2 linked regions of the Stegostoma tigrinum genome follow. The protein of the gene in region 1 interacts with the protein of each later gene in a pairwise test. Links are inferred from orthologs where the notes say so. Each region holds a gene or a part of one and is shown in the gene's direction. Other genes may lie near its edges. The genes, in order: SH3 domain-binding protein 5-like and tnksa.

Evidence for each region.
Region 2: the proteins of SH3 domain-binding protein 5-like (region 1) and tnksa interact in a two-hybrid assay, tested with the Homo sapiens proteins (2 studies listed by BioGRID and IntAct). The link is inferred for Stegostoma tigrinum from reciprocal best matches to the Homo sapiens genes SH3BP5 and TNKS.

Annotation. Positions count from the first base shown.
Region 1 is NC_081355.1:21,864,497-21,879,586, forward strand, and holds the start of SH3 domain-binding protein 5-like, read left to right. Parts: upstream 1-7,675; 5' UTR 7,676-8,503; coding exon 8,504-8,575; intron 8,576-15,090. UniProt on the Homo sapiens protein: Functions as a guanine nucleotide exchange factor (GEF) with specificity for RAB11A and RAB25. Inhibits the auto- and transphosphorylation activity of BTK. Plays a negative regulatory role in BTK-related cytoplasmic signaling in B-cells.
Region 2 is NC_081356.1:13,987,930-14,003,699, forward strand, and holds the start of tnksa (poly [ADP-ribose] polymerase tankyrase-1), read left to right. Parts: upstream 1-9,248; 5' UTR 9,249-9,301; coding exon 9,302-9,641; intron 9,642-15,770.

The DNA of each region.
Region 1 (15,090 bases):
TGTCACTAAGATCCTGGAAAAAAAAGACTTACATTTAAATGGTATCTTTCATGACTTCAAGATGTCCAAAGTGCCTTACAGCTAATAAAGTAATTTTTAAGTGTAATTCATTGTCTAAAGTAGGAAGTGACATTTAGTTGTCCACCATGGGGGGGCACGGTGGCTCAGTGGTTAGCACTGCGGCCTCACAATGCCAGCTTCGATTCCAGCCTTAGGCGACTGTCTGTGTGGAATTTGCACATTCCCACCGTGTCTGCGTGGGTTTCCTCTGGGTGCTCTGGTTTCCTCCCACAGTCCAAAGATGTGCAGGCTAGGTGGTTCGGCCATGCTAAATTGCCCGTAGTGTACAGGGCGTATGTGTTATAGGGGGATGGGTCTGGATGGGATGCTCCAAAGGGCAGTGTGGACTTGTTGGGCCAAAGGGCCCATTTCCACACTGTAGGGAATCTAATCTAATCAAAAACCTAATACCATCGCCTCAGAAAGGAAATCAAATTTGGAGCAGAGAATCTTGGGGAAACAAATGCCACCTCTAAAGCTGGAAATACATCACTTTGATAGCTCAGGATCTAACATCAGCACTTTAGAGAAACAAGATATTCAGTGTAGCTGTGTTAATCCATAAGAATAAAGTTCTACATTGAGATCTGTGAGAACATATAACATAATCTATTCAAATTCCAAGATTGTTAATTTGATTGATATTGTGGAGTCTAATCCTAAATTAATTTCATGAGTTTTCATTAATCTCAGATCCTAGTCCTGCCAGTTTTAACTGTAAAATAGTTAGACTGAGTTACTGTAGGTGCCATTAAAACCTTCATTTTAACATTCTTTATTAAACAAGTTACATATTTGGATCCTTAAGTAAATAAACAGACATTAGTTTATGGCTTTGATGTCCACTTCCTTTGATATGCCATGATCTGCACTGATTGATATAAAGAAATTTTTCAGATATTTTCTAATCAGCCTGTTCAAAGATATCATTACACACCTCTGGAGCAGGTGGGATGATTCCAGGCCTCCAGGTCCAGAGGTGCGGAACTATCACTTGACCACAAACACATTATAAAGACAGTTCCATCGATTTTTTTTTTAAACATTAACTGTTCAGACAACATAGGCCATCTAAATTTGAGATGGGGTCACTACCACTGTATTACAAGAGCCTCTCACAGACAGCATGCTAAGCCAAACCTAAAAATTGCCTACACCTTGAGGTCAGTTAGGTGGTAAAATACTAACTGTGAACGGTTAATGAATCATTTTTTGCCTTTAATGAATATAGAGACAGGGTACCAAACCCAAAACTTTTACACTTACCTCCCACCACCTGTGATCTACCCTTCACTCATTAAAAACCTCAAATACATACTGCTTGTTTTGTACCTTACTTTCAGTCTCTTATTAATTCTCAAGATGCAACCTAAGTTCTCACAACTACAAGTTTAATGAATGTTGTTTTATGTGGAACTTTGTCAAATGTCTTTAGGAATCCAGGCGCACCAATTTGTCTTTACAGCATAATAACTTAATAAAAAGTCCTAAGGTGTTTCACATAGGCACAATGAAAAGTAACAAAATGCTGCATGAGACTTTTTCATAGTCCTGCTCTGTTTGCAGTGGTTAACATTAATCTATGCATTTTTCAATTCTATCTTTAAGTGTCAGTCATAGCTCAGTGGTAGCATTCCTATTTCTGTGTCAGATGTTTGTGGGTTCAAATCCCACTCCTGAGATTTAAGTATGTCACAAGACTGAATTGGGAGTGCTCGGATGTACCCAGTTTCTAACTGATTTAAGTGTTAGACTGGGGCTCAATCTACCCTTGGACTTAAAAAATCAAAGGGCACTGTTCAAGGGAAAAAGAATAAGTTCTCCCAAGTGTTCTGGCTAATATTTATCCCTCAACTGGAAATAAATGATCCACTGCACTAATTTTTGTGAAATCTTGCTATGTTAGCTGCCACACTACAGCAATGATTACAGTTTAAAATGTACTTCAAACACTGTAAGGCATTACAAAAATTAAGCTGGTTAAAGTCATAGAGACATAGAAATGTACAGCATAGAAGCAGACCCTTCAATCCACCTCATCCATGCTGATCAGATATCCTAAATTGAGCTAATCCCTTTTGCCAGCATTTGGCTCACATCCCTCCAATATACCCATCCACATGCTTTTTAAATTGTGTAAATGTACCAGATTCCACCACTTCTTCTGGCAGTTCATTCCAAACATTCACCACCCTCCGTGAGACAAAGTTGCCTCTTAGGTCCCTTTCAAATCTTTCCCCTCTCATCTTAATTCTTCGCTTTTTAAAATAAGTGCAACATGCTACAATGTACTGTATAATGGAAGGAATGAAATCCCTGAAAGGTGGATTCAATCATGAGAGTGTTGTGGGAATTCTAGGTGCTGCTTTGCTGACACCTGTTTGTGCATATTTCCACATGACTGTCTAAGTAGAAAGGTTCACTCTCCTGATTTAGAAATCCCTGAGGCAGGCAGACATTCTGTCCCAATCAGTTGCCAATGCTGCTCTGGAGGTTTGTAAGTACATAACAAACTGATCGATCTGCTGATTACATTTCTTTCTCTCCCTCCCACTGGAGACTTACTTAGCGTCTGTTTGACCCAGTTATGAAAGAGAACATTGAGACTCAGTTTGTGATGTAGAAGTGTGGAATCAGCCCATCAATACAAGTCGTTACCTAAAAAAAGTGTTACAAACATGAATTTTGCATAACTCAAAACATTCTAATTGTTCTTCTGTTTCAGTATGTTCAGCAATCGAAAGTATTTCACATGTAAATGCTTTCCCCTTCTTTCATAATACGTAAGCATTGCTCACAAGACAAGCATCTGTTGCCCGGAGATAGTAAGAACTGCCGACGCTGGAGTCAGGAATAACACAGTGTGGAGCTGAAGGGACACAGTGGGCCAGGCAGCATCAGAGGAGCTGGAATGGTGACGTTTCAGGTTGGGACCCTTCTACATTTGTTGCCAATCCCTCACTGGCCTTGAATTGAGCGATTTGCTTCGGAGTTCACCACATTGCTGTGCATCTAGAGTCACACCTAAGCCAGACCAGGTAAGGATGACAGATTTCCTTCTCTAAAGAATGTTAGTAAATCAGATAGCTTTTATGGTAATTGTTGAATGCTTCATGGTGAGACTAGTGAGACTACCTTTATGTTCCAGGTTTATTAATTGAATTTATATGTCACAACTGGGTTTAGAGAGATATGAGCCAAATGATGGCAAATTGGACTAGGTCAGATTGGGATGTCCAGTCGGATGGGTGAGCTGGACTAAAGAGTCTGTTTCCATGCTGTGTGACTTTATGACTGCAACGGTATGATTTGAGCTCATGCAGCCAGACCACTGACCTGGACCTTGGGAATTTTAGTCCAGTGACATCAATACTACATCATCATGCCCTCACCCCCCGCCATGATCTGAGCGTGCTTCCATTGAGCCACTGACTGACACTTAAAGAGTCGTATTAATTACTATATACAGCTGACCGAAGCACCCTAAAACCAGCTATATCCAACACAAGTTCAGTTTCACCTCTGATTCACTCATACAAATACTCGAAGTCTGAAAAAAACTTGTCCTCTTTGCTGCTGCTGAACACAGTATGCAGTATCCAGTAGAGATCAAATCTAACTTCAGTGACTGTACAAGCTGCACTGCAGCAACTTGCCAAAGTATTTTCAACAGCTCTTCTAAAATCTACAATTTCAACCACCTAGGAGAATGACATCGCCTCACCGTCACTTCAAGGTTCCCTTCTTAATCACATAACCAAACTCGGATATATATCACTGCTCCTTTATTGTCACAGTTCTGGGTGCTATGTTGAACCTTTAACGTTTGTTCAGCCTGAACTGAGATGTGATGTTAATTCTGACAACAAACATTAGGAGGATGTGAAGAATGTAGGGAGAATCATGGGGTTCCAGGACAAGAGACTTTTGTGTAATTTGAGGAGTTGGGATAAAAGCAAAATTCAGCAGATCTCTCTCCACAAATGCAGCCAGACCTACTGAGCTTCTTCAGCTCTTCCTATTAGGGAAGCAAGTGTTGGACATTTAATAATAGAGTTCAAAATCAAAGGGGATCCAGATGGAGTAGATCAATACAGACAAAGAAAATATTTCCATTAGTGGAAGGTTGAAGAATTACAGAATATAGATTTAAGAATATAGATTGAAAGGCCAACATGAGGAGTATGTTTCTTAACACAGTGAGTGCCAACAGTCTGGAATTTACTGACTGACAGGATGGCAGAAGCCAATTCAATTCTGATTTCAAAAGGTGGTCAGATAAGCATCTGAAGGGAAAGATTTACAGGATTTATCGGGAAAGAGTGTGGAAATAGGGCTAAATTGTTCTTGCAGAAAGCTGGCATCTGGCCTGAGAGGCTGAATGTCCTCAATCTGTACTGTAACCATTTTATGATGCTTTGATTGTACTACTTAACAATACATATGGAAGTACTGTCACCACACTTCAGGAATACTCATGGGTAACGTTTTCATGTGCGATTAGCAATAACTAATAAACTCTGGCCTTGCAAGACAGGCCTCCATTTTTGGAATTTTTATTAAATGCAACTTGGAAATTCTGCTTCATCTGCTGAACTTGTATTATTTTCTTTTCTGTTCACAGACTAGTTAATTTTCCATTCAGAGAGGATAGAATTTTTTTGCACAAAGGGCAAAATGGCATCACATATTTATGTTTATATGAATAAACAAATTGTTGCGTATTCTCAGAATCTATGTGGAATATGACAGTTCGATGAGTACATAGATGTTGGAGTTGCATCTCTCTGGGCAACTGGAAAACTTTGCTTCATGTTTCTTTGGTGTGCCTTGAGGTGAGGTTTTTGGCAGTCAGGAGATGAACTACTCATCACAGAATTTCTGTTTAAGTTGCCATTGTATTTATAGTTACTTCTATTCAACCTGTTTGGGTATCTTGTGACACATCCTGGAGCAGGTGGAACCTGAATGCAGGCCTTCTGGTCTAGAGACAGGGACACTACTGTTGCACCACTAGCGTTTTTGCCATGGCATTTACAGGTATTTTCTATTCAACCTGTTCAGAAATATTATTAGACACCTCCTGAACAAGTGGAACTTGAAACTTGGCCTCCTAACTCAGAAATAGTGACACAACAACTGTGCCACAAAAGCCCTGTCATATAATGGCATTATATGGTGGGTTTAAGTCAATTTCTGCTCAATAGGGACCACAAGATGGTTATAAAAGTAGAGCTGTTTTTTGATACTTTTGGAATGTTTGCTTTGATTTGCAATTCCATGGACAGTAAAGCAGTCCATCTCAACACCCAGCAACACATGAACAACAGCCAGGATTTTATTGATAAATGGGTGCTATTGTTTTGCTTTAATCGGAGAGTGTTCCTCTCTCTTCAAAGTTACTGATATTCTTACCCATTGTAAACCTTATGTTGAATTGTTTCATCTGCTGCTGTTCTACCTCTATAATGCTCAATCACATGACTGCCCTGACTTCATCATCACCCCATCATTCGCCACTAGATTCATTCATTTTGGTTTCTGAACAACTCACAGCACTAAGATTCGAGGACTTCTCTTTATTGTGGACTAGCGAGTTGCCTCAACACTTCCCATGGATTAAATAAATGATTGACTCCCCAATCTAGACTCCTGTTGAAGTCAGGTTGCATAGCTAAATTGACCTGGTAACTTTCTGTTACTGAATCTCTGTTTTTGTTTGAAATTCAGAAAGCTATATTGTTCCTTGAATTAAATTATTAATAAAATCCACCTATTTCTCTCACTTAGGCAATTTTCCAAGAGGATGACAGACTAATACAAATTAACTGAAGAACTAAGATGAGTCAGTTCATTTCTCAGACTCTTTATTCTTTCCCTCTCCGTCTTTAAAACAATCCATAGAACCTAGTTATAAATGAAAAGAACTGCGGATGCTGTAAGTCAGAAACAAAGACAGAAATTGTTGTAAGCTCATTAGGTCTGGCAGCACTTGTGGGGAGAAATCAGAGTGAACGTTGTGGGTTGAGTGAACATTGTGGGTTCAGTGACCCTTCCTCTGAGATTTACCAGGACATTGCTGGGTATGGAAGGTTTGAGTTATAAAGAAAGGCTAGATAGGCTAGGACCTTCTTCTCTGGAGTGTAGGAGGTTAAGTGGCAACTTGGTAAAAGTTTATAAAATAATGAGAGGAATAGATAGAATTAATGGTAGCTGTCTTTTACCTCAGATGGGGATTTCAAGACTAGAGTATGTTATTTTAAGGTGAGAAGAGAGAGATTTAAAAAAAGACGAGGAAATTTTTTTACACAGGGTGGTTTGCATGTGGAATAAACTTCCTGAGGAAGTGGTGAATGTGGGTACAATTACAATGTTTAAAAGACATTTGGATAAGTACATGTATAGGGAAGATTTGGAGAGATATTTGCCAGGATCATGTAGGTGGGACACATTTAGACTTGGATTATGTTAGGCATGGATTGGTTGGACTGAAGGGTCTATTTCCATGCTGCTGGACTCTACGACTCTTGAGTTCTTTGAGCAAACCGTTCATCACCAGATTTCATAGAATCCCTACAGTGTGGAAACATACTTCCTTATGTGACACAGTGTAACATGTTGTCCTATAACACTACTTTGAAGCTTTAAGGTATTCTGGTTGTTAAATGGACTATAAAAATGTTTGTGGGTTGTTGAATTAAGTGAGAAAAAGATTTAACCAAGGTTTTACATTGCTTTTTAATTGCTCATTTTCAGACTTTCACTATCTTGTATTGATTAATAGTAATATTTCCCAAACAAATAATATCTCAGCTTCCTTCATTTTTTGAATACTGATAAGCATAACAGATGATTTTTACAAAGGTTTAAAACAAACGAACAAAAAAAAACAGACGTTTCCTCTAGGAATTTAGCTCCCAGCATACAATAATCTTATTTCAGTACAAACCATATTACTATGGAAGAACAGAAAATGAATTGAACGTTATTACCACAGCAGCAGACTTTGAGCGGGTTTTGCTGTCTGAGCTCCCTTTCTTGGATATTCTGTTGTGTGCATTCGCACTGCATTTTTGTCTGTCATTGTAACAATTTCAAAATAATCCTCTATTTTCATTAGTGAAGTTAATTTGAGGGAGGAACTGATACTATGAATGCTAATCATACCTTTCCACATCAACACGGTGTTTCATTCCAAACTAGAATTATACGAATTGTTGCCTTCAATATGGAACTCAATGTAACATCAAAATGCTTGGTTTGTAGCGGATCCGAGAGGGTGCGGATCCAAAAGACAGGTTTGCATTCATACGGCAACTTTCATGATCTCAAATAGTTTACACCTAATGAAATATTTTTGATATGGGATGAGATAATAAGCAGGTTGCATGTTTTTGTAATGTGTGAGAGGAACAAACGTTAGCCAGGACAAAAGGGAGAACACGCCTTATCTCTCTAAACTCATGCCACACAATCTTCACACGAGAGGGCAGAACAGGGCCTTTTAACGCGTCGTGCAAAATATGCCACACTCCATCAATAGTGCCAGCGCGGGTTGTGTCCTCCAGCCTGAACTGGGCGCTACAACTTAGTGACCCAGTATTACCCAGACTGGGCAGTGAGTGAGCTCTGCAAGATGCTGTGTGTCAGTGAGATATTCTGTAAATTATCTCCGAATCAGCACAGGGGTAGCCATCATCCGTGATGCAATCCCAGCCCGTTATTTCCAGAGCCAATAAAGGACATGAAAATAAAAGCAATAATTGAAAGAAATTAATTCTTTAGAGGGAGAAAGAGAAATTGCTGGAAATAACCGCTGGTCTTAGATTGGTAACTGCATCCTCCCCTGCGGGTAAGTGAAGGTTGGGGGGGTGCGGAGGTAAATTTTCAGCCTTTATTACGCCTGTATCTCATTAGAACAAAGCAATCGCCAACAAGCCCAGAGTAAGAGGAAGGGGCGGAGTAGCAGCGCACTGAGGAATCCTGGAGAATGTAGCCTCTCTGACTCCGTTTGAACGAGCTGTGCTAACGTCGCTATTGTATGACAACGCCAACCTCCTTTCATCCTGTCTGTGGATATATTTAGAATGATTTTCCTCCTACCAGGGCTCTGAACGACAAGAGTCTGCATCCGAGAGGGCGGCGTATATTTCCTCCGGACACTTCAAAAATGTTGAATTATTGCAGCTTTTTACGCGTCCAAGTTTTGCTGCCTCGTTCGTTGGAGCCTGTTTTAGTGGAAGAATGAATTCCAGATGTTTCTGCAGGATACAGCAGTGTTGACTCCGACAACGTCTTAATCGATAGTGAAGCCAATTCTGTTTCACTTCCCTGAGTGTTTCTCTCTCTCCTTTTCGAATTTCGGTCCTAGCTTGCATTTTTTTACATTCTCCCAAAATAAAAGAGACTGAATGCTGTAAGATATAAATAATTTAGTCGCAAAATGGACGGGTTGTCGAAGAAGAATGAGAAGTTAGAAGTGCCAGAGGAGGAAGAAGTCGACCCAAGGATTCAGGTAAACATTTTTGCCAAAACGTTCCTTTGGAATTGGTCGGTTTTGTGGCTTGTACTAACGTTGCAGTCCGGTGGATGGGTTATTTTGTGAAGCTTCACCGCATAACTGCAAAAAATATGTAAATGGCAACTTGCTGAGAGATGGGAACCAGAGAATATGGTTCCCACAACAAGTTACAGTTCGCATTTTTTTGCAGTTATGCAGTAAAGCTTCATGATTATGTGTGAATTGTAGGAGACCTTCTGAGTTTATAGTCTACAGTCAGGAATCCGTTTGCAGTCTCCAGTATAATGCGTACAATACTAAAACCCCATTATTGTATATGCAGTACTAACAGCATGGTATATGTATATTGTACTAATACCTTGGTAAAATGTATGCTGTTTCAGTGCCCTCTATAATGTATACTGTACTGATAACTCCTTTTATAATGATCTGGGATCAGAAGTAAAACTTTAACCATTTTCATGGAGTTGAGCTTTTTTTGTGTTCTCAGGGAGATAAGCTTTAATTTTGGATATGTTATTGGTTAAAATAATATTTCACTTCTATCTTATTCACGTAATCTGATTTTTAAAAAATCTAATGCTTGTACTTGGCTGTGACATTGCTAACTGCAGTTTTAAAACAGCCTGGTCCTCTTTGTTGCATTCTGTAGGTCTTCTCCCTCTTTGTGTATCTGTCTGTCTAAATTGTTTGAGGTGTGTGAGAATAGCCTGTTTTCCTCATCAGCCATTTATATTTGAATTTCTTTTTAAATGGACATTTTCCATTAGCTCTTCCCTTATCAAATTTGACTTGATTGTTCTACCAAACCATGCTGCAGCAAAGAAATTGGGTGTTGCAACGCCATGATATAAAATTTTATGTGCTGGGCTGTTTGTGGAGGACAGTAACTCTCTGGTTAAGCTTCCCACTAATTGCATGGGCAAGGCTGTCGCTAATTGCTTCCTGAACTCAAATTGCCCAATTGTATTGTTCAAAAATCTTTTTTCTTTGTAAACGACATGCTTTTTTACTTTTAAGAGAGGCCTACTGTCTTTTATTGACTGTAGTCTGATTTTGGTGTTTTGAAGTTTTCCTGGTGCCTTTACTCAGTGTTCTCCACTTGGAGCTTGATATTGTCCTAATTTCATAAATCTGAAATTGAGAAGTTGATATTAGTGAGTGCAACTGTCAAGCTATCGGATTGCCTTAAAAACCCCATGTAATTCGTCTGTTTCCTTTAGTGAAGGAGACTCACTGTTCTTTACCTTGTTTTCCCTATGATCCAATGCCACACCAGCATGCATTCCTTTTAGTGTTTTTACTAAGGTAGCCTAACAAGCTCAATTACATCACCTTAAATGCCAGCTTTGCTTGTCCATGTCCTGCAAATGAATTGAAAATGGTCTAACTTCTCAGACTCTGTAATATACGGTGAATTTTTCCCCCATCTATTAACAACCCAAACTATTGTGAGCCACCCAACGCATTCCAACCTAAGCCAAACTGAACTCAAGCACTAATTAAGATAATTAAAATGTGAGGCTGGATGAACACAGCAGGCCCAGCAGCATCTCAGGAGCACAAAAGCTGACGTTTCGGGCCTAGACCAAGCACTAATTCATCATTTGTCTCTGAGGATTTGCTTTGTCTTATGGCATTATTCTATACTGTCTTGAGTAATGTTTTCTGCAGCTGCACACCATGAAAATCACTTCGTATTTAAACCAGTTTTCCCCATTGCTGTTCCTTCAAAAGTACAGTGCTTTATGTTTTCAGCATAATTAATTTGCCTCTCTCCTCTCCGCCCTCACTGTCCGTCATGTTTTGTAGTCTGTAACCATAAATTGTTGGACCTTCTTGCTTCAGTTTAAATTACCAGTTACTATAGGAGCACATTAATCAATGACATTATCACCAGGAATTCCTGTTGACATCTTCATATTCGATGAAAGACGGGTTCTGTGTAAATGCAGGTCCAATGGGAACCTTAGGACAAAGGTTTTGAGGTATATTAATTGTTTTATTTGTAGGAAATTTGCTTATAACGAGGTGCAGATGTCAATTACATAACCATTAGTTAATCAGTTTGTGATGTTACTTGAGGAATATTTATCGGCCAGGATGCCAGAGAGAGTGTGAAACAAAAATAACAAGCTGACTGAGAAAACAAAACTGCAAGTCTACCCAAGTCTGCATTCTCAATGCACTCGTGTGTCCTGCATATCTCTTGGCAGGATGATCTTATCAAATTTTAGGTGTTGGAGTGTACTAATTCCATCATTACTTGCTCATTATTAATACTGATGTCTGTACTGGCTTGGCCACATCCATTGGGTGGATGATGGCTGCTTATCTGAAGATTTCCTGTTTGATTAACTAGCCATTGGGTTACACCTTGCTGGATATCTACAACTCAGGATACCTCAGGCAAAATGTAATAATGGCAAACATTTACACTGACAACTAGGAGAAGGTCCTGATGGCTGAGGCCTCTGGTGGCTGACTGGAGAGACTTTAGAAGAAGTGCTATGAAGCAGAAACTCAGCTGGCCAAGATATGGGCCCAAGGAAAATAGATGCTGACAAATCTTGCATCTTCTCGGTCCCCTGTCTTCATCCACAGCAAATACAGGTGGAAATGCCTTGCCAAAGTGGGGATCCTGATCCATGAGGTGATAGTTGAACATGATCCACCATCTTGTAAACCGGTAGGTTGCCAAAGCATCAGTTATAGTGATGAGTTGAGAGATGAATATTGGTCAGGGTGCCAGCCAGTGCAAACTCTTCAAAATTGTGACCTAGGATCTGTTGCACATCTATCTGAAAGGACGCACATTCAGTTTAACTTGTCATCCGAATGACGGCACCTCTGACTGTAGGGCACTTTATTAGAATTTATTATTCACTCATGGAATGTGGTGCCATTGATTTGGACAGCATATATTGCCCATTCCTTATTTCCCATGAGAAGGTGGTGCTGAGCTGCCTTATTGAACAACTGCAATCCACATGCTGTAGGTTGACCCATAATGCCCTTAGGAGGGAATTCCAAGACTTTGACCCAGTGGCAATGAAGAAATGGTGATATATTTCCAAGTAGGGAAGGTGAATGACTTAGAGGGAACTTGAAGGCGGTGGTATTCCCATGTATCTCCTCCCCTTGTCCTTCCATGGAAGTAGTCATGGGTTTGGAATGTGCTGTCTGAGGACCTATGGTGAATTTCTGTATTGCATCTCGTGGATAGTACACACTACTGCTAATATACATCAGTGGTAGAGGGAATGGATGCTTGAGGATGCGGTGCCACTCAAGTGGGCTGCTTTGTCCTGCATGGTGTCAAGCTTCTTGTGTTGTTGGAGCTGCACTCACCCAGGCACGTGTAGTGTATTCCATCACATTCCTCTTTTATGCCTTTTACAGATGGTGAATAGGCTCTGGGGAGTCAGGTGTTGAGTTAATTGCCATAATATTCCTAGCCTCTGACCTGCTCTTGTAACCACTTTGTTTATGTAGTGAGTCCAGTTGAGTTTCTGGTCAGTAGTAACCCCAAGGATGTTGATAGTGGAGAATTCATGATGGTAACACCATTGAATTTCAAGGGATGATGGTTAGGTTGTCTTGCTTGAAATTTGTGTGGCATCACTGTTACTTGCGACTTGTTAATCCAAGCCTGGATATTGTCCAGATTTTGTTGCAGATGGATATGGATGCTTCAATATCTGAGTAGTTGTGAATGGTGTTGAACATTGTGCAATCACTTTCATTGGATTGACAGCTTAGATTTTATTCAAGAATAGGATTTGCATTCAACCTTCTATCTCAAAGCAATGATACTATTAGGTCAGAGATTGGAGGCACTGAAAATGCTGGAGAATCTGAGATAACAAGGTGTAGAGTTGGATGAACACAGCAGGCCAAGCAGCATCAGAGGATCAGGAAGGCTGACGTTTCTGGCCGAGACCCTTCTTCAGCCTTCCTGCTCCTCTGCTGCTTGGCTGCTGTGTTCATCCAGCTCTACAACATACAAGTCAGCCAGGGTTGATGCCTAAATTAAATAATGTGGATTTTAAAATAAATAAATGCATAAATTTAAAAAAACCCTGACATCCACAGCTGCATAAGCATTGAGACTGTTTGCTGTATGAGCCTGCTAATACTCAGGTAGACAGCTATGTCATTACAGCTGTTAGAAAATATTCTCCATTGTACTTAAAGTTCTGGATGTGAGTTTGCTTGCTGAGCTGGAAGGTTAGTTTTCAGGTTAGTGAAAACGAACCTTCCATCTCAGCGAGCAAACTCACATCCAGAACCTCAACCTGAGCTACAAATCTTCTCAAAACTCGCTTGTACTTAAAGTGTTAATTAAAATAAGTTTACAACGTTTGTTTTATGAAAAGTGAAAATGAAAGTTTGTGCCTTTCTAAAAAAAAATTGAGCCCTTCAAATGCCTACAATTAGTGAATATTTTCTTTTCAGAGTATGATGGCACAGTTTCAAAAATCGTAAATGGAGCTTTGACAGTTTCTTGACCCCATTAAGTGCTTTTCAATTATGGAATATGTTACCTTCTTGTACAGATGTTTTGGAATTTTTTTTTGAGCTGGAATTACTGTAAGCTACAACTTTTTTAAAATTCTGGTTAGGAACATAAGGAATAGGCCAGAAGGGCCTTTGATCTGGATCCACCATTCAGTTAAATCATGACTGTTTTATGACCTACTTCCATAGACCTGCAATTTCTCCATATCCCTTAATGTGTTTAGTTAACAGAAATCTATTAACCTGAGATTTAAAATTAACAATTGATTTGGTATTAGTCACTATTTGCGGAAGAGTTTTCAGCCTGTGTCAGCTTTGCTTTTCTAACTTCACTCCTGAAAGACCTGGCTCAAAATCATAGGCTACATCACCTACTTCTGGATTTCCTCAACCAGTGATAGTTGTTTCTCCCTGCCCACCTTTATTTGTTCCAATTTTAATAATTTGAAAACTTTTGCTCAAATGACTCTCTTATAACTTTCTAAATTGCAAGAAATGTAACCAGGATTTGTGTAATCTTTTTCCTTATTCAATTTCTGAAATCCCAATGACGTTCTAATAAATCCCCACATCCAGAATATGCTATCTTAGGTGTGGTATAGTCCAACTGTGGTCTAATCAGGGTTTTACATATGTGGTAGCATGATTCTCATTTTTTTAAATATAATTCTCTAGATATCAAGTCCAGTATTTCACTGTGCTTTGTGATTTTTTGTTTGTTTGTATCTGTCCATGATGTTATTGGTGCTCATTTTTAAAATCTGAATATTGTCATGGTGCTAATTATAGTCTGTAGTAATTTTATGGCAACAAATTTTAGGCTAGCTCATCTATAATTCTATGTTTCTCGTGGAGTAGAATAACAAGCACAATTTTCCAATTTAGGAATAGTTCCTGATTTACTCTAACTTTGAAACAACATCATAATTAGGGCATCTGCAATGTTTCCACCTCCTTCTTTTAAATGCCTAGGATAAGAACTGTGCAGTCCTGGAGATTTATTTCTCTTTTGTCACTACTTTTGTTTCATTTGCACTAATTTGATTTTCTAAAAAAAAAATTAGCAGATTTGCAATTAGTTTCTTTGGGACATCCAACGTCCTGTTATCTTCCTATGCTGTAAATACTTTAAACCCTGTCTACAGTTTTTTCATTTTCATATTTAAAATCCTTGTATCAAATTTTGATAAACACTTTCTCAGTATCATTGTAGTAGTTTTAAAATATTGATTTCTTCCTCAGCATTATGGAGTTAATACTGATTTTTTTTTTATATGTCTGAATTTCTGTAAGGTGCACCTATATGAGGAACCAGGTTGGGGATTTTTGTTTTTGATTAGAGTTAAGTTAACATTTGCAATAAATGGGGAATTTCGAGAACCATACAGCACGGAAGCTATTTGTTTTATTGTTCTTTTACTTACAGCTCTTTTGAGCTATACACTAACAATTCCAGCCCCACCTTTTTCTCATGTACATGTATGAACAGGAGTAAATTAATCAGCTCCCTTCTGTTTTGCCATTCGTTTAGATCATGTGTGACCTGCATCCTGACTGTCTAAGTCCGCCTTAGTTCTGCAATCCTTAACACATCCTAAGAAAAATCTATGTATCTTGTTTGTGTAATCTTCGGTTGACCCCCTGCATCCACAGCTGTTTGGAATGGGAGAGAATTTTCTGAATTGCTAGAATTGTTCAGTGAGAAACTGGACTAAATGGAATTGAGCAGTAAGGTTCTTTACCTTTTGATATTTAAAATCAGCAAAATGGAACAGACAGGGTTGATTTTTAAAAGGCTAACTGCTTTCTGCTAAAACTGGATAGTGTAGTAGATCATCAGACAGTTGGTCATGTAGCCAGACCCATCTGGAAAATAATGCCACCAGCTTTCTGTAACATCTTTAAAATGTTTGCTGAGCAAAAAGTGATGAATCTCCATTTTGAAATTCTCAATTGACTGAGCCATAACAGCTTTTTTGGCAAGAGTG
Region 2 (15,770 bases), on another chromosome or scaffold:
TGGAGAGTCCAATCACATTTCACTCATTGGGAATAATTTTTGTAAAGCTGACGCCATTGTATACACCTCCTCTCCTTTGGCATGGTATTGATTGATGGCAATGTTCACTACTGCTACCTCAAGTTGATTAAACAGCTGTGGTATTCTACCTGGCCATGAACTCAGCTTCCTCTCCCATAACTTGTGTGCGCTGGCAATGTTCAGCAAGGGTTTCATGGAGGTGAGATGGCATCGAAGAACTGCAACTTTCATCCCAGCGGTACAGCGAAGGGGACTCATGACTGGCCATCAGGCCCATGATGGAGCACTGAACAAGGATTGTAAAGTTGAACACCCTTCCTTTTTCTTAAAAAACTTTTCTGTCTTTATATTCTATGTTTTGGTATATTTTTCTGTACTTTAAAGGTGGCACCAGAAAGTGGCAACATGACAACACTTTTCACTGTATTTTGTAACAAATTACACATGACTGTAATTAAAAACATCAAATCAATTTGTTTTCTAATTTTACCTTTATCCTATCACCACTGAAACTGTAGTCTAAGACTTCAACCATTCAGGTTTGATTTCCATAGTACTACTCCTAATCAATCAGAATCCTTCTTTAGGCCACCAGTTTTCTGGATTTCCACAAGACAATATTAATTAAATCTTAAGAGTGAGATTCTTTCTCTGATCTACTGTTTTAATTTGAAGTAATGTTCTCAAATTTTCAGCCCTTCCCCCAAGCTGCTGTGAGCAAAAGACTTCAGTTCCTGCTGTGCCTGTGACTGGAGACCGGTTGCACTAGTTTCTTGGCTTCAGCTATAGTTTGTTCCTGGTCATTCAGCTGTATTAAGGTACAAGCCCTGGTTGCTTCTGTGAATTTAATGATCATTTCCAACTTGATCATATTTCTGCCTTCCAACTGATTTTGTACACCTCCTGGATCTTCATTCAGGAGTGGTTTACAAAGTCACTTACTTTAAAACATTTCCATGGAATCCCTACAGTGTGGAAACAGGCCATTCAGCCCAAGAAGTGTACATCACCCCGCCAAACAGCATCCCACCCAGACCCATTGCCCTATCCCTGAATTACCCATGTCTAACTCACCTAATCTAAACGTCCCTAACTCCACAAAGGCAGTCCCCCAAGGTTGGAATCGAACCCGGATCTTTGGCGTTGTGAGGCAGCCGTGCTAGCCACTGAGCCACCATGCCACCCCTCCGTTACTTTACCCTCCGTTTCTGGTTTTTACTTGTTTCACCCTTGTCCAAACATAGACAACTGGTCATTGGTTCACCATTTAGCCTCCAATTTACTTCCACTGTAATTGTTTCAACTTTGACTTTAAGTCCCTTCTTTTGCCTGCTATCTAATTCATGTTGAGGACATTTAAAGGACTGACAGTCCTTCACTCACATCCATTCTGATTTGATGTCATAGAGAAGGTGACACCTGGACAAGGGTGACAGATTGCACCAGACCAACATCCCTACAAGGATGGAGTGGGGGGTATGCTGGTGCTGTTGGTGGGGATTGAAACTAGTTTGCCAGGGCAATAGAATACAGAATAGAGGTACAATACAGAGTGATCCACACATAGAGAAGACCAAATCAGTCTGGAAGACGGAGTCTTCATAATCTAGTTAAGGCACAAAGAGCACGGTAAGGTTAGATAACATTTAACTGAATGCAAGGTGTAAGGCAGATGAGTTGAGGATGCTGCTTACTAAATGGGGATATAATTACTACCCAGGGTACGGAAACTTCAGGCCAGTCAAGTGGTGGAGCAGGGAGTTGTAAAAGAGGTAGTGTTGCAGCAATGATCAAGGAGTTAATTCTGGCAATATGGAGGGACGATATCTTTGAAGAATCCCAAATTGAAGCCACATGATAGAAGTTAAAAACAAAAAGTGGAAGTCCTCCAGTTAGGAGTGTAGTATAGGTTCCCAAATAAACAGTTAGAAAGAGATAAAAAGGCAGATTTGTGGACACATCTCAAGTGAAAATTATTAAGGTAATAATAGTAGGGGATTTCAACTTTTTTACTCTTAACTGGGATAGAAATGTGAAAGGCTTAGAGAGGTGGAACTCTTAGAATGTATCCAGGAGAACATCTTGGGTCAAGATGTGGTAAGTCCCACAGGTGGTGTCGAACCAAATTTTATGGAACAAAGCTGGCAAGAGGTAGAAGTATCAATTGGGATGCATTTTGATGACCTGACCATAACTCAGTAAAACTTACGGTATTTATGGTACATGATAAACGTGGACCAAAAATAAAGGTTCTGAATTGGGAAAGGCCAATTTTAATAAGACAGCAATGGCCAAAACAGAGTGGGAGGAGATGCTTGTAGGAAATGTACATAAGAGCAGTGTGAGTCATTTGAAATGGACATATGAAAATAACCTGCACTTTACTAAGGGTGAAGGGTAGGACCAAGAAGGCTAGAGAACCCTGATGTCGACTAATATATATGGATTAGGAAAATAGGTAAGGTTAGGGCTGATACTGGGGACTCAAAATAGCAGAAGCCCTAAAAGAGTGTAGAAATCGCAGGAAGTTATCTCAAGAATAAGGTACAGAACAAAGAGGAGGCATGCAAGAAAACTGATGGACAAAATAAAGGTTTTGCACTGCAGTGGTACGTAGATGGGGTCTATTTCAATATATTTGTTTATCACACTGGTGGTTGAAAACCAGGCCTCCAGGAATTCGTCTTTGTTTTGCTTGTCCATTGTTACTTTGTCCAGTTAAACTAGAATGTAATAGAATGAAGGAGAGTTGGCCATGCTGTTTTGCTGTGAGTTGGTGTTCGTGTATCCTGGTGGCAAGTTTCCTGCCCATCTGGCCTATGTGGTGCTTCTCGCAGTTGCTGCATGGTATTTTGCATATCACATTTCTCCTGCTCATTGTGGGTATAGGGTCTTTCGTCTTTGAGTGTAACTGGCAAAGTGTGGCTGCTGGTTTGTGTGCTATCATTATTCCAACAGGGCGTAGGAATCTCATAGTCAGTTCTGATATATTTCTAATATAAGGTAGGGTGACCAGTGTGTTGGTGTTGTTTACTTGCTAGGCATCGGTGGATAAAGCTGTTAGGATACTCATTATTTGTAAAGATTTTGTACAGATGTTCCTCTTTGTTTTTGCACAGCTCCAGGGTATTGCAGTGTGTTAATCGCTCGTTTAAACAGAGTCTTGACACAGCTCTGTTTGTGGTCACTGTTACTGTTGTAATTCAGGATTTGTTCTGTGTATGTTGTCTTTTTCTATATACACTGGTGAGGAATTCACCATTGTTTATTCATTCCAACATTATGTCTAGAGTTGATTGTTGTTCTCTATTCCCCTGGTGACTAGTCAAACCAAACCGGACCATATACATTCAGGGTGGGTCAGAGTAACACAGCTTCAACTGAAGCTATACAGTGCTGAAGATGTCACAGGGAAAACCAGATAGCTCAGCGAACAAACCAACAACACCAACCACAACCCAAGCTGAGATCACAAGGTGTAAAGCTGGATGAACACAGCAGGCCAAGCTGCATCAGGGGAGCGGGAAAGCTGATGGTTCAGGCCTAGACCAAGCTGCAGATCTTTGCTAAAACATTATAGCTGTAGATGAGATTTTAAGTTAGTTGTAAAAGAAACAGAACAAGAAGGCAAAGATTTAGAGAGTGTTGTGTAACTGAAGCTTTTGTGATGTGAGAGATAACTTTTCCACACAGTGAGCAGTTAAGAATATGGGATGCACTAGCTGTAAATTCAAGATTAACACTTGAAACACCATAATGTACAAGGCGACAGGCACGATGCTGCAAAATAGATAGTTGCTTGATGGCAGACACAAACACGAAGAGCCAAACAACCTCTGTCAATGCAATAAGGCTCTAGAACTCTCTGAATCACCAAGCTGATTAATCTGTCTGACTTTGATTGATATCTAGGTCAGAAACTCCCACCGGATTTATCAACAAACAAAAGAAAATTAAAAGCCAAATTTATTCCTTAACAGTTAGCAACACACGTTAAAAGCTGCTACTAAGCAATCTTAAGCAATGTCTCCTTTAAACCCAAACCTGCATACAATAATTCACAAATGGGACACATGGCTCTGCAGAAATATGATTGGTGGAAAGTATTGACAAAAAAAGTGTTCTGTGGTTCAACAGTCAGTTCCACGGGTGGGAATGAGATGCCTTTATAGTTTGTTTTTTGGCAATTGTATCATGTTACGATCAACTCCAGAATGATAGAAGATCCTCATTTTGGCAGGAGGTCAATGGATGTACGATTTTACTTGAGTTGTAAGTTGCTACCAGGGTCTTGCAGTGTGGACTTTTTATTTTGACTCTCAGATAGAGACCAGTTTACTTCCCTTGCAGACTTTCTGGAGGTCTGAGTTTTACTTTCCCTGATCTCAAGCCTGTGTCAAATTGCAAGTTAAATACTCAGAGGCTGTTAGAACTGACAAAAACTGCAGATGCTGATTTCTCTCCACAGATGCTGCCAGGCCTGCTGAGCTTACATAAGAATTAGGAGCAGGAGTAGGCCACATGGCCCCTTGAGCTTACCCCGCCATTTAATGAGACCATGGCTGATCTTTTTGAGACTCAGCTCCACTTACTCACCCACTCACCATAATAACCCTTAATTCCTTTACTGTTCAAAAATTTATCTAGCCTTACCTTAAAGACATTCAACGAGGTAGCTTCAACCGCTTCACTGGGCAGGGAATTCCACAGATTCACAACTCTTTGGGTGAAGAAGTTCCTCCTGCCCTCAGGCCTATATCTGCTTCCCTTTATTTTGAGGTGATGCCCTCTAGTGCTAGTTTCACCTGCTAGTGGTAACAACCTCCCTGCCTCCACCTTATCTATTCCCTTCAAAATCTTATATGTCTCTATAAGATCTCCCCTCATTCTTCTGAATTCCAATGAATATAATCCCAGTCTACTCAGTCTCTCCTCATAATCCTACCCTCTCAACTCTGGAATCAACTGAGTGAATCTCCTCTGCACCCCCTCCAGTGCTACTATATCTCTTCTTAAGTAAGGAGACCAAAACTGCACACAGTACTCCAGGTGTGGCCTCACCAGGACCCTATACAGCTGCAGCATAGCCTCCCTGTTTTTAAACTCCATCCCTCTAGCAATGGCAGACAAAATTCCATTTGCCTTTTTAATTACCTGCTGCACCTGCAATCCTACTTTTAGCGATTCATGCACAAGGACACCCAAGTCCCTTTGTACAGCAGCGTGCTATAATTTTTTACCATTTAAAACATAATATATTTTGCTGTTATTCCTACCAAAATGGATGACCTCACACTTAACAACATTGTACTCCATCTGCCAGACCTTTGCCCAATCATTTAGACTATCTAAATCCCTCTGCAGACTTTCAGCGTTTTCTGCACACTTTGATCTACCACTCTCCTTAGTGTCATCTGCAAATTTTGACACACCACACCTAGTCTAAACTCCAAATCATCTATGTAAATTGTAAACAATTGCGGTCCCAACACTGATCCCAGAGGCACACAACTAGCCACTGGCCGCCAACCAGAAAAACACCCATTTACCCCTACTCTGTTTTCTACTGGTCAACCAATCCTCTATCCATGCTTTATTATCCATGCTATTACCTGTAATAATGTGCAACTTTATCTTATTTTGCAGCCTTTGGTGTGGCACCTTGTGAAATGCCTTCTGGAAATCCAAATACACCACATCCACAGGTTCCCCATTGCAATTAATGTCCTCAAAGAATTCCACCAAATCAATTAAACATGACCTACCCTTCATGAACTCATGCTGGGTGTTCCCAATGGGACAATTTATATTCAGATGTCTTGCTATTTCTTCCTTAATGATAGATTCAAGCAATTTCCCCACTACTGAAGTTAAGCTAACTGGCCTATAGTTATCTGTTTTTGTCTGCTTTCTTTTTTAAACAGTGGTGTCACATTGGCTATTTTCCAATCTGCGGGAACTACCCCTGAGTCCAGTGAATTTTGTAACTAATTACTAGTGCATTTGCTATTTCCCCCATCATCTCTTTTAGTACCCTGGGATGCATTTCATCAGGGCCAGGAGACTTGTCTACCTTTAGTTCCATTAGCTTGCCCAGCACTGCCTCCTTAGTGATAATGATAATTTCTAGGTCCTCACCTGCTATAACCATCTTGCCATTAGTTTTCGGAATGTTATTTGTATCTTCCACTATGAAGACCGACATGAAATAACTGTTTAATGTCTCAGCTATTTCCTCATACCCCGTTATGAAATTGGCCTTCTCATCCTCCAAAGGACCAATGTTTACCTTCACCAGTCTTTTACAATTTACATATTTAAGAAACTTTTGCAGCCTGGTTTCATATTCTGAGCTATTGTATTCTCGTAATCTATATTACTTTTCTTTATAACTTTTTTTTGTGGCTTTCTGTTGGCCTTTAAAGATTTTCCAGTCTACTAATTTCCCACTACTCTTTGCTTTGTCGTATGTGTTTTTTTTTCAATCTGATGCTTTGTTTCCTTAGACATCCATGGCTGGCTCTCTCTTTTCCTGCAGTTCTTCTTTATCACTAGAATATACTTCTGCTGAACACTGCAAGTCCTCCAATGTTCCTCAATTGATCCACCATAAAGTTTTTGCTCCCATTCTACCTTAGCTAACTCCTCCCTCATTCCTTCATAGTTTCCTTTGTTTAAGCACAGGACATAGGTACTGGATTTAACGTTCTCATGTTCCATCTGTATTTTCAATTCAACCATACTGTGATCGCTCCTTCCGAGGGGGTCCCGAACTGTCAGATCATTAATTATTCCTGTCTCATTACACAGGATTAGATCTAGGATAGCTTCCTCCCTCGTAGGTTCCATTACATATTGTTCAAGGAAATTATCGCGGATGCATTCTACAAACACCTCCTCAAGGGTGCCATGAACGACCTGGTTTGATCAATCGATATGTAGATTAAAATCCCCAATGATAATTGCTGTACCATTTTTACATGCATTAGCTATTTCTATGTTTATGGTCCGCCCCACCACAATGTCATTATTTGGTGACCTATAGACCACACCTATCAATGACTTCTTCTCCCTACTATTCCTACTTTCCACCCAAACGTTTTGTTCAGTAGAACCTATAATCATCTCTAACTACCGCCCTAATATCATCCTTAACAAATCAGAGCAACACCACCTCCCTTACCTTCCTGTCAGTCCTTCTGAACAGTTTGATACCCCTGGATATTTAACTCCCAGTTATGACCATCCTGTATCCATATCTCTATAATGGCCACTAAATCATACCCATTTGCCATGATTTGTGCTGTCAACTCATCCAACTTATTTCGAATGCTCCGAGCATTCAAATAAAATTTCCTTATGTAAGTTTTTGCACCTTCTTTTTGGGTCCTATCACCTTCATTACTAACAGCTCTCGAGTTCTCCTTCCCTTTAATTTTTTTCCTAATTTTCAATGGAGTTGAAGCTTCTTTGTCACCTGCTAACCTGTTGCTTTGCCTTACATTAATTCTTATTCTCCCTCTATGCTCACTTCTCCCGTCCCCACTACTTACTAGTCCAAAGTCCTATTAACCACCCTATTTACTATTTTCGCTGGAACTCTGGACCCGGCCCTGTTCAAGTGGAGTCCATCCCAGTGGTATAGATCCCTCCCGCCCCAGAACTGATGCTAGTGCTCCATGAAAAAGAAACCTTCTTTCTCACACCACTCTTTTAGTCACATGTTTACTTCCCCGATCCTCGCCTCCCTAAGGCAATTTGCACGTGGCTCGGGTAGCAATCCAGAGATTATGACCCTTGAAGACCTGTTTTTTTAAACTTTTGTTCCTAGCTTTTCATAATCCCGAAACAAATCTTTTCCCCATTCCTGCCTATGTCGTTGGTCTCTACATGGACCACAACAACTGGATCCTCCCCCTCCCTCTCTAGTATCCTCTCAAGCCAGTCAGGAATTCTTCGCACCCTGGCACCGGGCAAGCAACACACCATGTGGGATTGTCTATCCTGCTCACAAAGGATACTGTCCATCCCCCTGATGATGGAATCCCCCACAACTACAAACTGTCTTTTTGCTCCTCCCTCTTGAATGGCCTCCTGGGCCATGGTCAGTTCCTGCAGCCCTGTTCCTCATCCACACAGGGGGCAAGTGCCTCACACCTGTGGGACAATGTCAAGGCTCCTGTGTTCCTGTCTGCACAGTCCCTCTACCTGCCTCACTCAGTCACACACTGCTGTCCCTGCCCGCTGATCAAATTAACATTAGTTAATCTACCAGGTGTGACTGCCTCCTGGAACACAGCATGCAGGTATTTCTCCCCCTTCCGGATGTGTCACGGCGTTTGGAATTTGGATTTCAGCTCATCAATTTTGAGCCAGATCTCCTCAAGCAGCCAACACTTACTGCAGATGTGGTCACTGCCGTTCTCAATCAGATCAGCTAGCTCCCACATCATACAGCTACAACACATCACCTGGCCTGCCACCTCTACTTAGTTAATTATTTAAAATTAATTAGATTTTTTGTAATTTTGCAGTGTTCTCTGCACCAGTTTTCTCCGTTATATACTCAAACAGACTCCGGCTTTGCCTTCCAACCTGCTCCCAGAGGATTTGGTGTCTAGGTGACCAACCCAAAAGATAACAAAGAGATGAGGAAAAAAAAATGCAAATAGCTTACCTGCTCACCACACTTAATCATTATTATTAGGTTAGGTTACACGTGTAGTATCTTGGGTATTAGTTAACTCCCAGATTCATTGGGTGGAAGCTTACCTTCCCAGGATGCCCTTGTGCTTTCTCCCAGACTCCTGCCACTGATACAACTGAAATTCAGGTTTATCCACCAATTTCTATTTTCGACTCAGAGGCTGTTTCTAGGCCAGCTTCTCAACCCGACAACTCTTCAGCAACGCGTCACTATGACAGGCTCCAGCTTTTGACCCGCCCACGAGCACAGGTGAGCGCATGCAAGGAGTTCCCAAATCGGCCAATCAGAGTTCGGGCCAATCAAAAGGCCCTGAAGAATGACCAATCAGGTAGCGAAAAGCTGTCCATTGGCGTGAGGAGGTGTCACCCCGCGTCAGCCTCACCACCACCCCCCGATCCCCCCCCCATCCCCGAAACATGCCCGTCCGTAGGGCCGGTGCTGGGTACGTGCACGATGCGCGTGCGCTTCACTCCACTCCACCCCCACCTCCCGACGGGCGCCGCCGCTTGGTGTCGGCGTGCGCGCTCAGTGCCTCAGTGACGTAAGCCGGCGTTGCTGCAGTGACGGTCGAAGATGGCGGCGCGGCGGAGCCAGCTCTCTCCCAGCGCCTCGGACCCCGGCCCGAGCTCCACCCCAACCCCGACACCGGCCTCCGACAGGCCTGATTCGCCAGGATTCACCGGCGGCAACGCCACCTCCCCGCCTTCCGGGGCAGCGGTGCCGCCGCCGCCACCACCACCAACAACTACAACAACAGGAGGTGGAGGGGGGGCGGTGAATGACTCGGGCCGAGAACTGTTCGAGGCCTGCAGGAACGGCGATGTTTTGCGGGTGAAGCGACTGGTGGATTCGGGCAATGTGAACGCCAAGGACATGGCCGGCAGGAAATCCACGCCGCTGCACTTCGCCGCAGGTTTGTACGTCGATCAGGCTTTTAGAGCGGGGCCTATAGGAGGTGGGGCGGTCAATGATCTCCTAGTGTGCGGATGGGAGTCCGGGGCTGAGATCAAGAACCTCAAGAGGCCTGGACTCGTCGCCGTCAAAACAACGCAACAACTTTGGGATCGGGGCGGGGTGAGGGATGAAGATGTTGCCATGGGTTTGAACAAGGGTAGGAACAAGGATGGCTTAAAATCAGAGTCCGAACATGGGCCCTCTTCAAACTGCGGATACTGCATTAAAAGAGTGATAGCCCCATACGATCTTTGTCAATTATCGTGTGGCAGTAATTCATATTATTTAAATGGACTTCACAGAGATCGGGAGCTGGAGAACGTGTTAACGGGAATGGTACGGGGAGGATAAATCTTCATTTCGCGTTGACGATGTAAACATTAGTTTCATTATTGGGTCATTTGTAACAGCAGCGGCGGCTGTGTCGAAATTTTGTTGCACACAAGTCTGTTCTCAAGTAAAAGTACCTTGTCAATTTTGGAGCATTTGAAAATGGTGGTAGTGACAAGGCCAACCAACTCGCCCACTAACCTCCTCCACCGTCGGGATGGCTCGGATCTGAGGAGCTTGGAGAGGATATTCCCAAGAAAGGAAGGTTTAGTCTCGATAAAATAGGTCTTTTCCTGTCTTCTGAACTGCTCCCCATTAGCTTAAAAGTGCATATCTAATTGGTAAAAGGTTTGGAGGCCATAACATTAAGGAGAGGCAGCAGTGTAGTGGTAATGTCACTGGATTAGTGAACCAGAAGAGACTAATAGTGAGGACATAGGATCAAATCCAACCACGGCAGGTGAATTTTAATTCAGTAAAAAATCTGGAATTAATTGAAGCTGGCCTAATGACAACCATATAACCATTGTTGACTTGTAAAAAGCCACCTTGTTTTTTCGTGTCCTTTAGGGAAGGAATCTATCATCCTTACCTGGTCGAGCTGTATGTGATTCCTAATTGATGGCTCTGCAGTGATGAATGCTGGTCCAGCCAGTGATGCCCACGTCCCATGTCCAAATTAATAAAAGGGCTTTGTGATACACAATGAATCATAGCATCTGTACAGTGCAAGTAGAGGCAATTCAGCTGTCAGGTCTGCACTGACCCATTCTATCCTATGTTTACCATGGGTAATCCACATAGCCTGAACACTGCGGGGCAATTTAGTATGGCCAATCCACCTAACCTGTGCATCTTTGGGTTGTGTGGAGGAAACTGAATTCCCCTTTGGAAACATACACAGATACAGGGAGAACGTGCAAACTCCACACAGTCACTCAGTTGTACCTTGGTCCCTGATGCCATGAGGCAGCAGTGCGAACTACAGTGGTACCATGCTGCCCACCTACAATGGACCAAATGGTTGCTAAGAATTTCCTTGGTGTGACTGGCGAATACATAGATCGCGTGTCCTGGTTTAAGAGGATGCATAGACTGGATAAGTATTTTGTGGTTTTGCTTTTTTTTTCCCCCCGGTTTGGGGAGTGAAAGGAATCCAGAAGTATTGTTAGAACTCACTGATTTTTAAAATTTATTTTTGTGTTATTCTTTTATTAATTTTGGTTTATTGCTGAGAACTGTGAACTGAAGCTGTTAGAAACAAAAATAAGCCATTGTTTGTTTGTGACGTCAAGTATGAAAGTTAATTACAGGTTGATTCTTGATCAAAAGGATTCTATAGACTATTTGACACTGGGGAAAGCTGTCTGTCTAACCAGACAGCAGATGTTTGGCCATTGACAATGTCAATACCTGGGAATTCTTACCAGCAAGTCTGCAAGGGAACATGATTGGCAAACAGAGGGAGGGCCAGAGTTTGAACTGGTTTTTGGACTGGTTTATGAGAGGAGGAGTTTGTTGATGTTACAGCATGAAAGTTGGAAAGCTCCTTGCCTAACCTCCTCTTATCAATTCTTGGAAGTTCAGAAAATGTAAATAAGTAATGCCTTCCTTTAGCATGAACTGAAAAGATGACATTGATGTCTTAGGAATGTCAACCGAGAAACCTTTGTTTATGCCTGCAGAACAGACATTGTGAAAACCCCATAAGTAATCTGGCCAGTTTTGTTATTTTTATTCATGCCTTAACTCTGTCTGTGTATCTCTTTGTATGAAAGGAGGCTGCAACAAAGGTTTTTGGGTTTCAATCATCAACATGAATGAGATTACTTGCTGTGTTAATAAATTGTTATCTTTTGTTTAAGTTTGTAAACCCGGTGTCAAGAATTGATTATTCACAGTTTAGGATTGGTTATTCAAAAAGTCTGGCCAGGAATCGTTGGGGTCTACTTTGAGAGTTTTTGAAGGTTTTAATTTCACTATGTTGTGAATACAGATGTGGAAAAGCTGGTTTGATTTAGCTTTCTGTCTCTGTGTCGTAATAGTATTTATTCACAATGTAGAAGACACCATATTGATTGTATGTTCTTGTAATGTAGTACTTTTTGTTCTTGACTAACGTTATAAGTGATAAATGTAAGGTCCCTCTCTGAAAAGCCGATACAGCAGTGTGGGTTATAACTAAAATAGTCAAAGTACTCCTCTGAGCACAAAGTGTGGAGCTGGATGAACACAGCAGGCCAAGCAGCATCTGAGGAGCACAAAAGCTGACGTTTCGGGCCTAGACCCTTTCGAAACGTCAGCTTTTGTGCTCCTCAGATGCTGCTTGGCCTGCTGTGTTCATCCAGCTGCACACTTCGTTATCTAGGACTCTCCAGCATCTGCAGTTCCCATTATCTCTGACTCCTCTGAGTCCCTTTAGTTTTGTTGATTCTGATAGAGTTTTTGAATGCAGTGAATCTTCGCAACTTAAAATATGCCTTGCAAAGGTGACCTTTCTAAAATACCAAATCAGAAATGAATAAAGTTGATACTGTGACTTGATTCTGTGATGTTAATTATTGTAAATAAGTCCAAGCCAATTCCCATTTTTAACTTAAATTTGCCTCATCAGGAATTAACAGTAACTTCAGTTGTTGTACTTTATCTTTCTGTTTATTGCAGATCTTCCTTTTTATCAGTGTTCTGGTGAGATATTGCAACATTTTAACCCAGCAAGCTGTCAGTGAATATTTCTAATAATATGGAGACCAGAGCCATCATTTATATTTAATTGTATTGATACCTTATCATTTTAAATTGAATCAGATTAACATTTGGTTGAATGGGACGTTATTCTCTTGGCATCAGCTAGCTGAAATATTTATGAGAAGTGAATTTAAGTAAACTTTTTTGTTTGGATTTTGTTACTTTGAGGTAAGCTTGAAGATTTCACTTGATTTGGAGTTTTATTTTCCTCCATTTTTGCCACAGAGAAGGAAATTTGGCTTCTTAAGTGTGTTTAGAATTAGTGGATCTTTGACTTGAAATATTCTTGCATTCGGTAGGAAACTTAAGTCCAAGTATGACGACTACTTTACTGATTAAATAGATACTTTTGGCTAAGTGAACTCAATTATACAGCATCATTGCCTCTGGCTGAAGCATTTATGTAGTCTATAAAACAGTTGTACCTTTGAGGTGAGTGTTCATTTTTCAGTGCCTTCAGGTTTTTTAAAACACATTTTTATTCTGCTGTATAAAATATTTATTTAGCAAGGAATACATTAATACTAGGTCAACTGGAGTGAAAATAATTTGGACAGCTTTGGACATGTTTGTAAACAACTGACGATTTCTTAAGACGTAGATCAACCATTATGCTGTAGAATGAAAGGAGAGGTACAAGGTGTTGAAAAGGCTTCTGTCCCCATGCAATTGAAGCAGTTAAGACCTGTGACTGATGTGAATTACATGGTTTGCTACGGGATAGGAAATGAGATTGTGCTGATATCCTGTATATTTCAAAGTCAGCAAGGCCTTCATGTTGCTGGGAGAATTTACGACTCAATTTTCAGCAGTTCCAAAATGGTATTTTAAAGGCTAATGATATTTAAATGAAAAATAGAGGCTGTCATGGGGCTTCAGGGACTTGTATTTACTTTTTTAATGGAAATAGTGAGGCAAGAGGTGATTGGGGACTGAATGTTTCCTCAGCCAGGAGGAGAATATGTTGTTGACAGCTGTTCTCAAACACATCACATATAGACAAATACTCGTGACCTCATTTTACTGTGAAAAGAGCCATTCACACTTTGGAGACATTGTATGGACTTAGTTTCTTTTTTTCCATCAAGAAAAACATGATGCTAGAATGTTCAATGGTTTGCTTTAGACTTTTCAAACTGCCTGTTCATAGAATATAGAAGGATGTAGCACAGAGGGATCCCAGCCCTTTGAAAGAATATCTAATTAGTCCCATTTCTTTGCTCTATCAAAGTTTCTCCTTCAAATTACTTCTTAGCAATTGACTATTTGGTCAAAAGTTTCTGTTTTGAATTCAGCTCATGTATGATTGGCAAATATTGCTGAAAATTTAGTACTAGAATAGATTATTTGGAATGTAATCTGTAAAATTAGGAAATTCCTCTTTCACAATTGTTAATAAGCTGTTTGAGGCACTAAGAGATATTGATTGAATGATGATCATCATGATCCTCCATTTTAAGGATGAAGTTTGTGAATTAGTAAAGCTAGTTTTTAATTTATCCTGAACTGAGTGTTCGGTTCAGATGTTTTTGCATGTTGTTCCATTGGAATGGGGCAGAATTGGCCAATGAAACATTTGATAGAAAGAAAATTTATCTTTTTAGCAGAGATCTAGTTTCAGACTTGTTTTCTTTTGCCATGGGCCCTGTACCTCACTGTATACCCTAGTTTTCAAATGCCAATGCCTGCTGTCCATAGCTGAGACAGAGCAGTGGGGTCAAGATGGTAAACTGTCTAGCATTCACCAGACAAAGCTATTGCCAAAATTCATCCCATTTTTAAGTTATATTGCCAAGTTTAATTTTATCATTTGCATCTATGGTAGTTGCAATTGGGTGTCCCCCTGCCTTCTCCAAAGGATTGTTATTGGGGGTAATCAAAACAGTACCCAGCTGATGGGAAATTTGAAACAAAAACAGAGAATGCTACAGAAACTCAACAGGCCTGACAACATCTGTGGAGAGAAAAGTGAACATTTCAAGTCAGAGTTGAAATGTTAACTTTTTTTTTCCACTCTCTCCACAGATGCTGTTCAACCAGCTGTGTTACTCCGGCATTCCCTGTTTGTTTTAGATTTCCATTTTCCACAGTATTTTACCTTTATTTGATGGGAAACTTGATGGATCAAATGACATTAGGTTTTACACTACATGAGATTTAAATCACAAAAGTTGATGTCACGATGCATTAGATTTGCAGTATTCTGTTGTCAACTGCTTGAATGGTGATACTTCCACATTACTGTCTGATTGTAGCAAAAATAGGTAACGTTAATTTTATGTTTGAATAGATAAATAGATTGAAGTAGAATTAGAGTTTTGAAGAGGTTCTGCATTAATGATAGTTCAGTAACATAACTGGGAGTCTAGCGGTCAGGATTAATGATCTGGAGACAGATCAAATTTCGCTAGCTACAAACCTCAAATTTATCAAGTGAATCTGGAGTGAATAGCCGTCAGTAATTGTGTCCATGAAATTACCAGATTGTGTTGTAGAAACCCATCTGCTTCATCAATATTTTTCAGAGAAGAATTCCTGTTGTCCTTTCTCAGTCTGGCCTAAACTTGACTCCAGACCCACAGCAGCATGTTGACATTTCATTATCTTCTTAAATAATCTAGTAAGCTGCTGAGGTGGGTCACCATCTCCTTTCCAGGCAGTTAGTGCCAGGCAATAAGTGCTGGTGTTGCAACAACACCTATGCCCAAGAATAATTTTTTTAAAAAAGATTTTAAAGTATTTGGAAATTTGGGTCAGGGTAACTAATTGTAACATGCTATAAACTTAACAGTACAAATTTTGGATCAGTATTTGAAATTGGCATATGGTTTTCTCTGTATGTGGAGCCCATATAAAATGTTTGAGTAGTATTCTCAATTATGTTGTTCCTATTGCTAAAAGGCATAAAGGACAAAAGATTTCCAAAAATGCTACTAAAACTCCAGAGATTGGAACTGTCGGGGAAAACTGAATGGTTGAGCTCCTTTTTTAATATCCCTAGATAAGAGAA